Linked DNA regions of Oreochromis niloticus. The protein of the gene in region 2 interacts with the protein of the main gene of each other region in a biochemical or structural test. Links are inferred from orthologs where the notes say so. Each region holds a gene or a part of one and is shown on either strand. Other genes may lie near its edges.

What was found. The genes of interacting proteins can lie anywhere in the genome.
Region 1: the proteins of hip1rb (region 2) and cltb form a complex in vitro, tested with the Homo sapiens proteins (2 studies listed by BioGRID). The link is inferred for Oreochromis niloticus from reciprocal best matches to the Homo sapiens genes HIP1R and CLTB.

The regions. Positions count from the first base shown.
Region 1 is NC_031966.2:28,751,729-28,759,688, reverse strand, and holds the start of cltb (clathrin light chain B), read right to left. Parts: upstream 3,051-7,960; 5' UTR 2,772-3,050; coding exon 2,618-2,771; intron 2,052-2,617; coding exon 2,008-2,051; intron 1,825-2,007; coding exon 1,707-1,824; intron 1,414-1,706; coding exon 1,302-1,413; intron 846-1,301; coding exon of another isoform or gene 825-845; intron 431-824; coding exon 377-430; intron 1-376. Other genes in the region: pdlim7 (PDZ and LIM domain protein 7), read left to right, coding at 6,431-6,460. UniProt on the Homo sapiens protein: Clathrin is the major protein of the polyhedral coat of coated pits and vesicles.
Region 2 is NC_031977.2:19,253,824-19,260,784, forward strand, and holds the start of hip1rb (huntingtin interacting protein 1 related b), read right to left. Parts: upstream 3,050-6,961; 5' UTR 2,615-3,049; coding exon 2,522-2,614; intron 1-2,521. UniProt on the Homo sapiens protein: Component of clathrin-coated pits and vesicles, that may link the endocytic machinery to the actin cytoskeleton. Binds 3-phosphoinositides (via ENTH domain).

The sequences.
Region 1 (7,960 bases), on a different chromosome or scaffold from region 2:
CAAACAAACAAACAAACAAACATGGTTATTCTAAGGGTCAGATGAAAGCAGCTCATTGGCTAACAATTTCTCAATATCAAATCATGGTAGAGCTTCGTAACTGGACTTCACGGTAGCTACATCCATCTCTCATACAGTCTATACTTTATACCCAACATACACTTCATTGTTGACATATTTAATATTTTTTTTTATATAAAAACATCTAGGGCAATGGCACACATCAGTCAAAAAGAACACAAATAATGCCAAATGAAGCCTTTGACAAAAAAGAAAAAAAACAGAATTCCAGTGTTGGGTCATGCATCGGGGGCAAAAGAGGTCATTCAGGGGGCAGATCATACAATATTAGAAAGCAGAAGAATTCTAAACGTACACAAAGCCTATAACATCAGAGTTGGGCTGTTTGTAGAAAGCCTTGTCAGCAATCCTAGCGTGCAGGGCAAGGCCAAGAAAGCAGGAAAAAAGAAGGAGAGGAGAACAATTTCAGTGTCAGTCAACAAGCATAAAAGTGTTAGAGTCTGGGTTATTGTAAGCAACTGAGAAACATTTCTAATGAGGTGGAAACAGTGACTAAACATCTTGCACTAGTGTCATAAACAATCTAGGACAGTCTTTGCTGTAGCATGGGGAGGGGGTGACTCTAGCATTTTCTTTCTGCTGTCTGCATTCTTTTCAGCTAGCTAGTTTCCTGTTTTGCTTTCCGGACACTTGAACTGGACACACAGCTGTAGACTAACATCTCATCAGAGTATTGTATCTCAGTGCTTTAGAAAAAATAGAAGAAGAAAAAAAGAGCTACAGCTACAGATGCAGAGCGATACCGTGCCAGACTTGGACAGAGTCTGTTGGGAAGTGTGAGAGAATAACTGGTTAGCTTGGTCAAGAAAAGAGAGACTGCACAGTTTATGACACTGAGGGGAACCAGGCTAAATCAAGTATTAAATATTATAGTGGTTTAATCTGTTGTGATCACCTTGGTGCAGTAAATTCAACACATATACCACCAACCGTGTCAATTTATCAGTCAGCTGTAAAACATACACAGGTCTAGGATGTAATCTTGTAGAGAAAGGCACAGTTTCCTACACTTCAGAAGAATCTATAAAGACCTCCACTGAACGTTTAGTTTAGAGCGAGGCATGTTTGCAAACTGAACCACAATGTTTGTTTTACCAAGAACAACTACCTCTAACTACCAATACAAAATTCAAAACAAAGGTAGTAGAGTGATTACAGCATCACCATCATGGATTACTTCTCTGCACATTAGTGGTGGGGTGGGGAGGTCAGATCCTAACCTGTTGTTGGTCTTGTTCTTCTCCATCTGCTCATTTTGGTGTACGTGCCAGTCCTCAAGCTCCTTCTTGGCTTTCACTCTCCATTCTTCCTCCGCTGCCTTGGATGCCGAGTCTTATTAGGACGCAAGAAAGCAGAAACGTCACACAGTTGTAATGCATTTAATCTCTTCTGTTTCTATGTGTGACAAGGATCTTTTCTGATTAGTTTAAACTTAATCACAAGTGTGCTGAAAGGCAGTTTAGCCTCTAACAGAAAAGCAAAAAGCAGTACAGTGAAGCGTTAGTGAATCCGTGTGAAATGAACCTGTGACCTTGTAAGGAAAATAAAAAGAATCATAAGAGCTACACATTACTAAGTGCATTACATATTATCACTGACAGCATCAGGGAAACATTGTTACCAACCTAATGCTTCAAGGCGTGCCTTCTGCTCCTCCCTCCATTTGCGTAAACTTTCAGGTTCTTGCCTTTGGATATCCACCTGGGCGATGGCTGCGTAGCTGTCTGTTGGGCCATTGGACTCCTGTTGGAGTACGCAAAACATTTACACCATTAGAAACAGCCATTCGGTTCATTCATGCGTGAACGCCACAGCAAACCCACTCCTTCATCACATGATTACGGTGTTCAGAATAAAACTCAACCACACATAGGTTATGTAAAGAGACAGACATCATAAAGTATTACAGACAAGACTGAAGCTCACCTGAAACAGGTCTCCATTCAACGTGGCAGGTTCTTCAAAGCCGTCTAGCATTTTTTTAAACAAAGAAAAACCCACAGATATAAGTTAAGATGAACTTCTTGGAGTTTATCCACTTACACTTCCTTGCTATCTGGAGTGACTTATGCTCGCTGCTACTACTAAAGTGGTGTCACTTTTGGTCTCGAAACGGATAAGACTTCAGAAATGCAGCAACACCTGTTTGGTCACCTGCTTGATATTGTCTGGGCTGCTTTGTCGGTTAAAAGGCCAGGAGCACTTGCTCTTTAGCTTAGTTTTAAGGTGCTAGTGTCACATAGCTAATGTTATGTGGGATAGCGTCCAATTAACAAAACCTACGTTGTCGTTGCCCGCAGCTAGCTAAGCTACAAGGCTAACGTACTGTTAGTTTGAATCTAAATAGGAAGCAGTGAGAGTGTTAACCACTTATATCACACAGTGGTGTTGTTAACATATGGCGGTGGGGCCTTTGTTGGTTAACTACTAAGCAAGTTACCGATGCAAGTCCCGGTATTAATATTAGCTAGCTCTAGTTAGCTTTGTTTGCTCGTTAGCTAAACATTAGCTGACGTTAGCTCAGGGACAAACTTGCCATAGTTGTCGGTCTGCGGCTGCTGAACACCGGCTCCTTCTAGGGTCCCAAATGCGTCGCCATCGTTTTCTATCCCCGCTATCTCATTCTCCTGTTGAGCCAGGAAAGCGGCGGCCGGGTCCTCTTCAGTCGGGTGCGCTCCGTTGTCAGCCATCTTTCACAAAAAGTGTACAAGTTTGATTGAGCTTGCTTAGCTAGCTAAACGTTAAAGCCACAAAAATCAGGGCACCGAGCTCTGCAACGTTAATAGTAACAACTTAAAAATTCGATTTGAGTGTTATCTATTCTAAATATTGCTTGGAAAAATAGAGTCAGCTAGTAAAGCATACGGAATAAACAATCTACGCGTCGATTAAAGGCCTTAACTGATGATTCATTATTTCTTCACTTGTTCAACCAGTATGTGTATGATGATAGAGCAGGGGCAGCACCCCGAGGGGACCTTTACATTTTGTTGGAGTTTGTCGCCATCTGCTGGCCATTTGCAGCACAGCACTGTCATCTCCAAGGGTTGTAGTACTAATGCGGTAACAGTAATAAAAAATATCGACAAAACTTATATAGCACTATTTATAGACAGAAATGGAAAAGCATAAAGGTTATGCATTCAGTCCCCCCCCCCCCCCCCCCCCCCCCCCCGCAGGAAAATAACTATCCTCAGCAAAATCTACATGAGTGGGTCATTAAAAGGGAGACGAACCAGACATCCTCACCACTTAACTGGACTCCCTTCAGATCCTTCCTGTCACTTGCTCCTGGATCAAAGATTTCCTCACTAACTGCCCTCAATCAGTCCGACTTTGCCGACTATGTCATCGTCAAGTATGCCGATGACATACTGGGTTCATCTCTGACGGAGGCATATAGGGCAGAGGTAGAGAAACTTGTCCCACTGGTGCTCAGAAAATAACCTGAAGCTGAAGGTCCTTAAAACAAAAGAGCTCATCATGGACTTCAGGAGACACAGACAGGTCCACTCTCCTCTCATCATACATGGAGAACGGGTGGAATCTGTCTCCACCTTCAGGTTTCTGGAAACCCACATCTCCACCGATCTCACCTGGACCCACAACACCAATGTAGGCTGTGCAGAGGGTAATTAACACCACCCAAAAAATCATTGGCTCTCCTCTGCCAACCCTGGAGGCCACGTCAAGGCCTCAGGTCAATCAGGTCCTACATCTCCAGACTCACAGCTTCTTCCCCCAGGCCATTCGGACTGTTAACAAACACTATCCACTATCATGGATTACTTCTCTGCACATTAGTGGTGGGGTGGGGAGGTCAGATCCTAACCTGTTGTTGGTCTTGTTCTTCTCCATCTGCTCATTTTGGTGTACGTGCCAGTCCTCAAGCTCCTTCTTGGCTTTCACTCTCCATTCTTCCTCCACTCCCTTGGATGCCGAGTCTTATTAGGACGCAAGAAAGCAGAAACGTCACACAGTTGTAATGCATTTAATCTCTTCTGTTTCTATGTGTGACAAGGATCTTTTTGATTAGTTTAAACTTTATCACAAGTGTGCTGAAAGGCAGTTTAGCCTCTAACAGAAAAGCAAAAAGCAGTACAGTGAAGCGTTAGTGAATCCATGTGAAATGAACCTGTGACCTTGTAAGGAAAATAAAAAGAATCATAAGAGCTACACATTACTAAGTGCATTACACATCACTGACAGCATCGGGGAAACTCTCCTCTGCCAACCCTGGAGGCCACGTCAAGGCCTCAGGTCAATCAGGTCCTACATCTCCAGACTCACAAACAGCTTCTTCCCCCAGGCCATTCGGACTGTTAACAAACACTATTCCCCCACACCCCACCCCTGCCCACTCACCTCACCATGGTTTGAGTAATCCTCATCACTCAGGTGACTCACACACGGTCTATTCAGACCAAGTATTTTCTTTGCACTGCTTCCAAGCACTTTGCAACTTGTTCTCTAATGTGTGCCTTTCTCTTATTTTTGTATATACCCCTCTTGACTGTATATATTTCTCCTGTTTGATACTTATTGATCTTATTAACAGCCTATGACCTAACTGGGTATTATAGATTAATAAAACAATTTCTTTGCATCTATAATCATTACTAAAAGGCCCCAAATGACCCCATATGACCTTTAAGTAATGGTCGAAGTGGATAGTGGAGTTGTTTTGTACAATTTAAAAATCCATAATTGGAAAAAAACAGCACAGGACAAACAGTTTGGGGACAAAGTTAAACAGACGAGGCTGAGATGGTTTGGATACATGCAGAGGAGTGATAGCGGATATAGTGGATGAAGGATATTGAAGATAGACCTGCCAGGCAGGAGGAAAAGACCACAGAGGAGATTCATGGATGTAGTGAAGGAGAACATGCAGAGGGTTGGTGTGGCAGAGGAGGATGCTGGGGATAGGATGAGACGGAAGTTGTAGTTGTAGTTGAAGTTTTTTTAACACCTGTTTTTGTTTGTGAACAGAAAGAATTACGTTTTGTTTTGTCTTTTTGCCTAACTTAACGCCTGTGGATGATTAATGTGTAGTTATTGTGTTAGAAAGTCCGCTTAAAACAGGTCCAAGGTTCTTTAATGTCACTCATCATAAAGACACGTGACAGAACGAAATGAAGTACTCAGTACTCATGCTGTGACAGGTGAACACACAGGTGAACACACCTGTCACACATAAGATCCCAGACATATTTTTGTATTATATCTTCATGCAGCATAGTGTGCATATTATTTTTTCACGCAATCACACTGTAATGGAAAATTTCTATTATTCTCATTTAAGGTATATAGGCACTTATGCGTATGCTTAGTTGTGACACTGTAATGTAAAACTTCCACTGAACAGTCTAAAACCAGATGAACTTATTTCAGCCTCAGTAGTTGAAGAAAACAACTGCATTTGCAGGTGCTGATAGCGCCAAGGGCACGAAACAGCATACCCATTGTAGTGGAAGTTCCACTAGGTTTCACAGCGAGCGGCGTGATATGTGCTATGATCAGTTTGTGACTTCCTCCCCTTTCTTTGGAATGTACAAAGATACAAAAGAGCGAGAGCTCCACTTCTGTTTCAGGGACTGCGCTTGATGACATGCGCATGATAATAAAGAGTGTTGATTGCGGCTGACCGTGTCTGCGGACTTTCTTAATTAAATGTGCACGACAACACACACTGTCAGTCTAAGTTTGACTGTTTTTTTAAAACTAACTTCACTTTTTTTTTTTTTTTTTTTTACAGACTCTTGCGCTATTTCTTAGTGTAAGGCTCTTACCATGCAGCCACCTGTGTTAACTGTGTTGTTTATTGTAGACGGTACTAGTTTTACTTACTAGTAAAACTGTTTCTCTCTCCATTTAGAATAGGTCATGTCAAATTAAGTTACCCTATTACAATTAAATAATAATGGCTTAGCTAGTAAGTGCAGCAAACAGCGTGTGTAAAAAGTTATTCTTCAGGGGTGGTGTCCTGGATTAGTTCATGTTTATCTCTGAGGCCTACTCTTATTCATTTATTTATTTATTTTCCTTTAGTTAAAACCGACGGAGTGATTGAGAAAAGCGGTTTCATGGCGGCTGTGATGAATGGCTTTAGTAGTAGCAGCTGATGAGTGCAACTCGGCCTCTGAGTGAAATGAAGCCTCCGCCCATGTGACTTCTGACGTCTCAGCAGAGTCCTGCTAAAAAGAATTTGAGGGAATGAGTTTGCTGCTCACCAGGGGGATCCACGGCGGCTTCCTAACGTTTGCCTCAAGGAAGTCTGAAAAGTTGCCTGCTTGCCAACCGACTTATTATCTTATTTTTTAATTATTTTTAATCCGGTACACTCGTGATGTCCGGCGAGCACAGAGAGACACAAGAGGTAAGCTAATGCATCTTTGTGTGTTTGTGTGGTGTAACTTCTTCAAACCAACTTTTCCCCCCCACAGAGGAGGTTTGTATGGATTAAGCTGGTGCTCCAAACTGTGCAGGCTCATGCTTCTGGCCATCTTCCCCGAGCCCCTGCTGCTCTGTAGCTGTGCTAACTACTTTGTCAGAGCCGAGAGTTTTGTCCGGTTTTCGTGTCCCGTGTTGTCGCGAGTGGAAACCTGGCTGTCTGCGGCGGTGTTAACCGGGGTACAGCGTTCACAGCGTGGCCTTTAATTACCGCTGGGAAATTAGTGTGCTGGACGCATTTAAGTTATTTAAAAGAAACCCGTGTAAGCTCGTAATTGCGTAGCGTATTAACCAAAAAATTTCGTGTATTTGAGCTCTCATTAAAAGCAACACGAGTTCCTATAGAACTAATGCAGCAGCGGCAATAATATAGAAGATTATAAATAGCAACACCATAAGCATGGGGATGAGTGCCACACATTTATTGGCTTAAAACTGATGCTTTTATTCTCTTGCTTATCATACAGGGTGGTGTTTAATTAACTGGAGTGCATTCACATTAATGCTGTTACTTCCTCCGCTTTAATACAGTCTGAATAATCAGCTTTCAGTGTGGTGTTTATCACCAGTGAAATCTAGCCTCCATTACCTGCTGCTCCTGCTGCAGGTCTTTCTGTGTGTCGCCTTATGCGCCTCTGTATCATAATTCATTTCCCTGGCTCTGAGAAAAACTAATTTAAGCTTTGCCAGTAAAGAGTCAGGTTTGTACAGATCTACAGGGTGCATTGACAGTAAATGAATGCGAATGGAAGTCTTTTTTTATTTTGAGGATTTCCATTAACTTGAGCAGATTTGCAGGTTTTCTTAGTGGGATTATTTGGGGTGCTAGGCTGGATTAAAGGCTGTGCTGCTAGATTTTCCTTATCTGTGAGCACACCACTGTCTCACCAGTCTTTACAGTGTGTGTGAGCTGCTCTGTTGCTTTAAGAGCTTGATGTTAAAGTATAATTGCTGAGGGCTTTTTTTTTTTTTTTTTCTTGCTTGCACTATGTTTCATGCCCTCCAGAAAGAATGTAGAGGTCTGTGTGCTTTGCTTCATTTGTGGCCGTCCGCCGTTTCCCAAGTGCAATGAACTTAGAGGAGGAGAAAAAAAATCTCCTGGCCCGTGCCAGAATCCATGGGTCGTTGACGTTACCTCTCTCCATCCTCCTCTGCCCCCCCCCCCCCCCCCCCCCTCCTCTGCCCCCCCCCCCCCCCCCCCCCTCCTCCTCCTCCTCCTCCTCTCCCTGTGACTCATGTGGGTGTTGGGCTGAAATAGTTTGGTGTAGTTTTACATTCCTTATATAGCCTCTGAGGAGTGAGCAGAGGCTACGGCTTGCCTGTGTCACAGTCAGGATCGAGGGGGTAGGGTTTGCCAACAGAGAGGGAATCTGCTTGCTCCAGCTTACTGACTCTTTAGCTTTCTCCCAGGTTTGGGCTACCAGCT
Region 2 (6,961 bases):
AGGACCTAAAAAACTCAAACTCTAATTCACAGGTCACTGCATGTTATTAAAGTGTAAACAGCTAACCAAAAACCTTTTCATTCTCTCTACTCCCACTCAGTAGCTGAATTTGCCCTTTCCTACTCCCATCCCCCCTTTACCCTCTCCCTCTCTCTCTCATGGGCGCTTACTCAGGCAACAGGAGTGAGGGAAAGCAAACAGTACATTGCGCACACAAACACACAGGGCGCTGTGCAAGACTGTTCACCTTGGTACCGAGGTCGACATGAAAAGCCGAGACAGGAGGACAGAGAGAGAGTGGAAGTTTAAAAAAAATAAAAAGCAGCACCAGAGTAGCTTCAGTCTCTCAGCTCTCCCTGCTACATGCAGCAGTCTCTTTAACATAACAGGATTAAATTAAAAGAACACATTTAAGCAACACTATGCAACATTTAAAGCAACACAGGCTGTATAAATTGTATGCAATTAGCACACTATTTGAGACAAGAGTCCAGATTCCTCATTCTGCCAGGAGTTCATTTGCATTTTGCCTGGGCACGTTTGACAATGCAGCCGGAAATTTGCTCAACCGCTGCTTTAATTTTATTTATTTGTTTAACCTTTATTTTACCAGGAAAATAAAACTCTGGAGATTATAAAAAAAAAAAAAAATCTCTCACAAGAGTGGCCAAGCCAAGACAAACAGCAGTACAATCAACAGCGTACACACTGAGGAAGAAGTACACAAACTAACTACACTAAAACACAGCTGGTGAAAAAAACCCCAAAAACAATAAAATAAAGAATTTATAAACATCAGCGGCAATAAAGTCAGTCATCAATAAAAGTCATTGGCTTATACCTCATTTCTGATATGAGACAAGCTTTAAGGGTTGTAATAAATCTCCGTGCACCAGCATATGTAAGCATTGTGAAGATGTGCATGTAAATATCACCATCACTATAATCCAGCAAAGACATAAAGGTTAAGGCAATAAAAAGAACAGAATGGACTTAATGGTGAAATAAAGTTTCTCACTAGTTGCTGAATGTGAGATGTAAAAGAGAGACAGTGTCAATTATAATTCTTAAGTGCTTGTATTGAGATACTAACTCAGTTTCAGAGCCCTGAACTGTATGATCCTACTAAAGACTGTTTATACATAAAATAAATAACAGTGGCCCTCGACGCGAACCCTGTGGCACTCCTCTAGTCATATTAAGTAACCTGGAAATGACTCCTCCTACCTGCACACACTGAAACCATCCAGCAGCTTTTCTTTCTGAGGACCCCGCATTGAAGTCTTTGCGTTAAGAGTTTATGATCCCCACTGTGCCAAATCCCTTGACTAGACCTGATTATGCTGAGAATTTGAGCAGCTCCCTGAAACCCATATTTTACGTGCAATGCATCGTTTGACACAAAGGAACATAAACTACAAGTCTGACAACAATGCCTAGTTTTGAAAGCAAAGCCACACCTGCTTTTTGCCATTTGCTGTTCTGATCAATGACGCTAAACACGCACGGCAGTAAGGCTATATTTATTTATTTTACTATAATTAAGCAGCCCAGAGGACAGAGCCACAGTAGTCTGAGAACCTGAGCTCCACCTCGCTACACGTGCGTCAAAAGCAAATAAAACACTGAGTAAAACACACGCCCAGCGGAGGAAACGCTCCACTCAGTTCAGATAAAATAGGGCTGTAAGCCTGACCCGCCGGACAGCTGTTTGTTTAGTTACTCAACTCGCTTCGGCTCTTGTGTATCTGTGTTCTCCACCTGAAAATGTAGCCCCAGTGTCTCCAGGGCTTTAGCCAGTAACACGCTGAATACACCAGTGCCCGGGTTAGCTCTTCGCCATGTATGGAACAGTGCAGTGGAGTAAGGCGCAGAAACCACAAAGCACCTGTTGTGTGAGCAATGAGGCCAGCCTTCATTCCTTCACTGCACACATTCAAAAGAAACTGAGGTGTTGTTGAAGGATAGTTTGTCAAAAGGGTCTATTTTTCATGTTTTCAAAAAAAAAAAAACAACCAACAACCAAACGAAAAGTGGAGGTGGTTTAGAAAAAAGAAAAAAAAACGGGGAGGGAGATGCCTGTACTGGGGGAAAAGTGGCCAAACCGGAAGGACTAGATGAGCATGATACCGGGATACCAATGGACCGACTTCAGTGCGCAATGGCACTTTCAGTTTTTCATCATTGTGTTTAAATAGTCAAACCTACAGCGCAATGCCAAAGAGTTTGTCCTTATTTTCAGCTCTCAATGTTCCAGTGTTGGCCATATAGTCCGACACACACACACCTAGAGGGGGCATCCCTCATGGGGCCTTTCAGTGGCCATTGGTAAAGCTGCGACGGCTTCTGGGCAGTTAATTCACTCATTAAACATTTAATTTGGGGACAGGGATTGTGGCCTATCCGGTAGATATTCACTCATCCTCTAAAGCCACAGCAGGCCTGAATAAAACCCAGGTTTACCGTCCATCCCACAGCGGGCATTAACCCGTCGTTTCCCGGTGTCTTCCTGCATATTTACCTGCTGCTTGTCAAAATGATCCCTCTCCGCGCCGAGCCTGACCTCAGTCCGCTTGGATTTCACCCGTGTGGGTACATGACTTAAGCTGCTCATCCTCTAGTTTTCACTTCTTTAATTTTTACGATGATGGCTTTATTAAGAAACAGTCACTCCCCCTCTTTACGCAAAAAAAATCACCAAAAACGTCCAAATGAAAGCGAAGTGCAGCAGCGGTCTCCTCTTCTATGTAGACTGCGAGCTGTGAGCGGGGGTGCCACGGTCATCTCCAGGCTGCCGCTTCATTACTGTGATGCATCACGGCTGAAGGAGGAAACGCTAATGCGAGCAAATGCGGTGAGTTTGCCTCGCGTTACGTGGACAGATCCTCCCCCTAAGGTGGAGGAAATCATCTGCGCGTCCTCCGCCGCTAAAGTCATCCTCCCACATGCAGGTCGTTTTCTTTTCTTTTCTTTATTCCAGCTGTAATGATTACGGCGCAGGTTTCACGTCGACTCTTCCCTTAAGATTGCCAAGTATGCGTTTTTGGCTCTTGCTGTTTTTGAGAGCCTGCCTCTCGCTCTCAGCCTCGGCACGGTGACGCCATTTCAATGACATCCAAGCCCATGAGGATTATTTCTAAATTATCTTTTAATCCCGAGAATGCGTCTGATTTTTTTAAGCAATCCAGCTGGGAGGACATAAAACAGGAAATTACAGTCAGATTAAGATGTGTTTTTGTAGATGCACATTCATATTTGCGGAATAAATTATTCCACAAATCAAATTAAATAAAACAAAACTGTTGGGCTTGTATAAGCAGGGTAGGTGTGAACCACCCACTTTCTAAGGTACACCAGTGTAAGTCAAATATTTAATCAGACAATCACATGACAACAACTCGGTGCATTCAGGCATGTAGACACACACTGAGCATCAGAATGGGGAAGGAAAAAGATTTAAGTGACCTTAAATGTGGCGTGATTGTTGGTGCCACACAGGTTTATCTGAGTATTTGAGTATTTCAGAAACCACTGATCTACTGTGATTTTTCCACACTGCCATCTCTAGGGCTTACACTGAGAAAATATCTAATGAACAGAAGTTTTCTGCGTGAAAATGTCTTGTTGATATGAAAGGCCAAACTGCTTTGAGCTCTTGGGAAGGAAAAGTATCTCAAATAACCGCAGTCGGCAGAAGAGCATCTCTGAATGCACAACATGTCAAACCTCGAAGCAGATGAGCTACAGCAGCAGAAGACCGCACTGGGTGCGTCTCCCATCAGCTAAGAACAGGAAACTACAATTCGCACGTGCTCACTAAAATTGGAAAAATGTTGCCTGGTCAGATGAGTCTAGATTGTTCCTGTAACATTAAAATGAGGAATTAGAAGTTTGAGTCCAACAGAGCACCTTTAGGATGAAAGAAATCCGCTGCAGCTGTGTGATGCTGTCATGTCAACATGGATCAAAATCTCTGAGGAATGTTTCCAGCACCATGTTGAATCTGTGCCATGAAGAATTAAGACAGCTCTGAAAGCAAAAGGGGTCCAACCCAGTACTAACGTAACACACACAGTTCATTTAAAATAACAATAGTTTAGTCTTTTAAGATCTGATTAAACGCAGGTTACAATTCATTTCCACTTCATGACTACAGAATGTTCTGTATGCGTGAAATCACTGCTCTTCACTTTGAGTCTCAGGTGTATTAAACTACAGCAGATCAACAAACTAATGTGTTTCCTCCTGTTCTCGTCACTCTCACTCACTCCAGTGTTCTTATTTCTCTTTATAATTAAGTAATTAAGTGGTCTGTCCCTAATACTTACTCCCTTATAGATTAATCAGTGATAGCAAGGTTGTCACCTTCCACACCAGTCCCAGTTTCTAATGTTGCCCACTCCTGAGTTATAGGGTGTTGTGTCACATGCCTCTCCTGACTTAACTCCCTGTGGTTGGCAGACAGGTATGAGGAAAAACCTGATTTTTGTTTGTCTCAGTCACCATGATGTCTTCAATCTTTTATCATTTCACAGTTTCAGACAAAATCTTCAGCAACAGATCAGTTCAGACAATCAAGACACAATAAAAATCTGAACCAGTCAGACATGCAAAGCATTCTAATGTTGTATGTTTTGTCTGTGAAGGTTCTCAGTTGTATGTTTTGTTTACGCTGAGTTGTGCTGAGCACTATAAGTCCCGGTTTAAGCCGCCGATGCCGTTTCTTGATCTGTTGGATGTTCAATTTCTCATCAGTCGACCACCACCAAGATATTCTCTATGACAGCAGACTGACCCTTCAGTTTCCCTTTCTTATGTATATTTTTAGGATCTGCTCACATCTCAGTGTTGCTCAATGTTGTCAGACTGGAATTTCATGTTCACTCTGCTGGGTGGAGTAGGACACATGATGTCTTATTCCCAGCTATGCAGTAAAAGAAACACAGAGGCCGATGGGACAACAGGAGATGGGAGACAAAAAGCTTCGCAAGCCATACTGGCTTTTTCACATTTTTTCTCCCGGGTGTAAACTCTGCACACACTGACGATATCTGAACTGACGAGCTGCAAGTCACATCCATGGATAATTACTGCGTGACATCTGTATGAAAGAATTCTGAGTAATGCACTGACATGACCGATGACTTATGTGTGAATAATTATATGAACTCTGGTGAAGGAAAGATGGGACAACTGATGGTAACTGTGCATGCCTCTATAAAGCACATTATATACAACAGAAAAGATAGTAATCATTAATAAAATTCTTATTAATAGTTCCTCACACAACATTTCTTGTGCATCAAAGAAACACTCTTCAGATGATGTAGTCTCTAAAACATGTACAGTTGCAGTCAGAGGTATTAATACACTCATCACGGTCAAGATTGTTGTGGTAATTTTGTTTTTTTCAAGATTTCTTTGAACAGTATTTGAAAGGGTTGTACAGCATCTTTAATGACTAAGAAAAGAATTGGGTGTAAAACTTTAAATTATTTGTAATTTTCTTTAATCCACACAGGGTCAAAGGATACATAGAGGGTCAGACATATACATAAAACCCCACTAATATATAGTTAAATGTCCCTAAACAAGCTGCACTTCGACTAGACACTTTTGGTAGCCAACAAGAAGCCTCTGGGATAATTCTGCTGCAAACTTGAATTCTCTTCTTTGCAGAATCGGTGGGGTTCCATTAAATGAGTGGATTTGATGGCACAGAGCCTTTTAAGCACAGTCTACAAATTTTCCATAGGGTTGAGGTTGGGGCTTTGGAAAGGTCATTCCAGAAGTTTGCTGTTAGCCTGCTTTATCTATTCCAAAACCAGTTTTGATGTGCATTGGGATCATTGTCCTGTCTGAACCAGTTGTGTTCAAGTTTTAACCAAGTTTTGTACAATGTACCAGTATGTTGTACAAAGCAAAACAGCTCCGGAGCACGATGCTGCCACCACCACACTTGACAGCTGATACAATGTTCTCAGACTTGAAAGCCTCACCTTCACTCCTCCAAACATACCTCTTGTCATTGAGGCCAAACAGCTCAATATTTGTCTCATCTGACCATTAAGCTTTTCTCAAGAAGGAGTTTGGCTTGTCCATGTGGGGAACTGCAAATTTCAGCCAAGCTTGAAGGCGTTTGTTTGGAACAGGGGCTTCTTACTTTGTCAACAACCTCTGATTTAAGACTCACTTCACTGTGGTCAGTGATACTGGTGTTCCAGCAGTTTCCAGTTCATGGCAGGTTTGACCTTTGGTGGTTCCTGTATTGTTTCTAAACATCTCAACCAATGTCCTCTTATCTGAGGGTGACACTTTTTTCCAGACCTCAGCAAAGTGGTGACACATGTGAAAAACTTGTACCTGTGTACAACTGCTTGAACTGATGATCTGCAGTTGTTTAAAAACGGCTCCAAGAGACCTTCTGAACTTATGTAAATCCACAATTCTTATTCTTAGATCTTCAGTGAGTTCCTTGGAATTCCCAATTGCTCATTGGAGTATTGGTCACTCCAACGAATGCTGTCAAACAAACACTTTTTATGCTGCAAAGAGTTGTGTTGACCAGTTGTGGTCAATCATGATCACTAATGAGAAGATAATAGGCCTTGGTCTTGTCAAGTTGAACTACATTGCAGAACCTTTAGTATGACTGATTAAAACCTTTGACCTAGATTTTTTTAAGGTCATCAAAGATCCTCTACATTTATTTCACTCTGGAAAAAGAACTTTTTAAAGAAATAAAAATTACCATGACATTCATGCCCATGATGAATGTTTAAACTTCTGACCTGTGTGCTGTATGCATTTTCAGATATTATCCACTAGATGGCAGCAGAGTTAAACATAGTGCCAGCGTTAGCGTCATAATTGTCCCCTGCTGCTGATTATGGATGGGCTGAAACAAGGTGGCTTTTTGCCTAACTGTCAAATAACCCCTATGAACAAACCTGGTAATTCT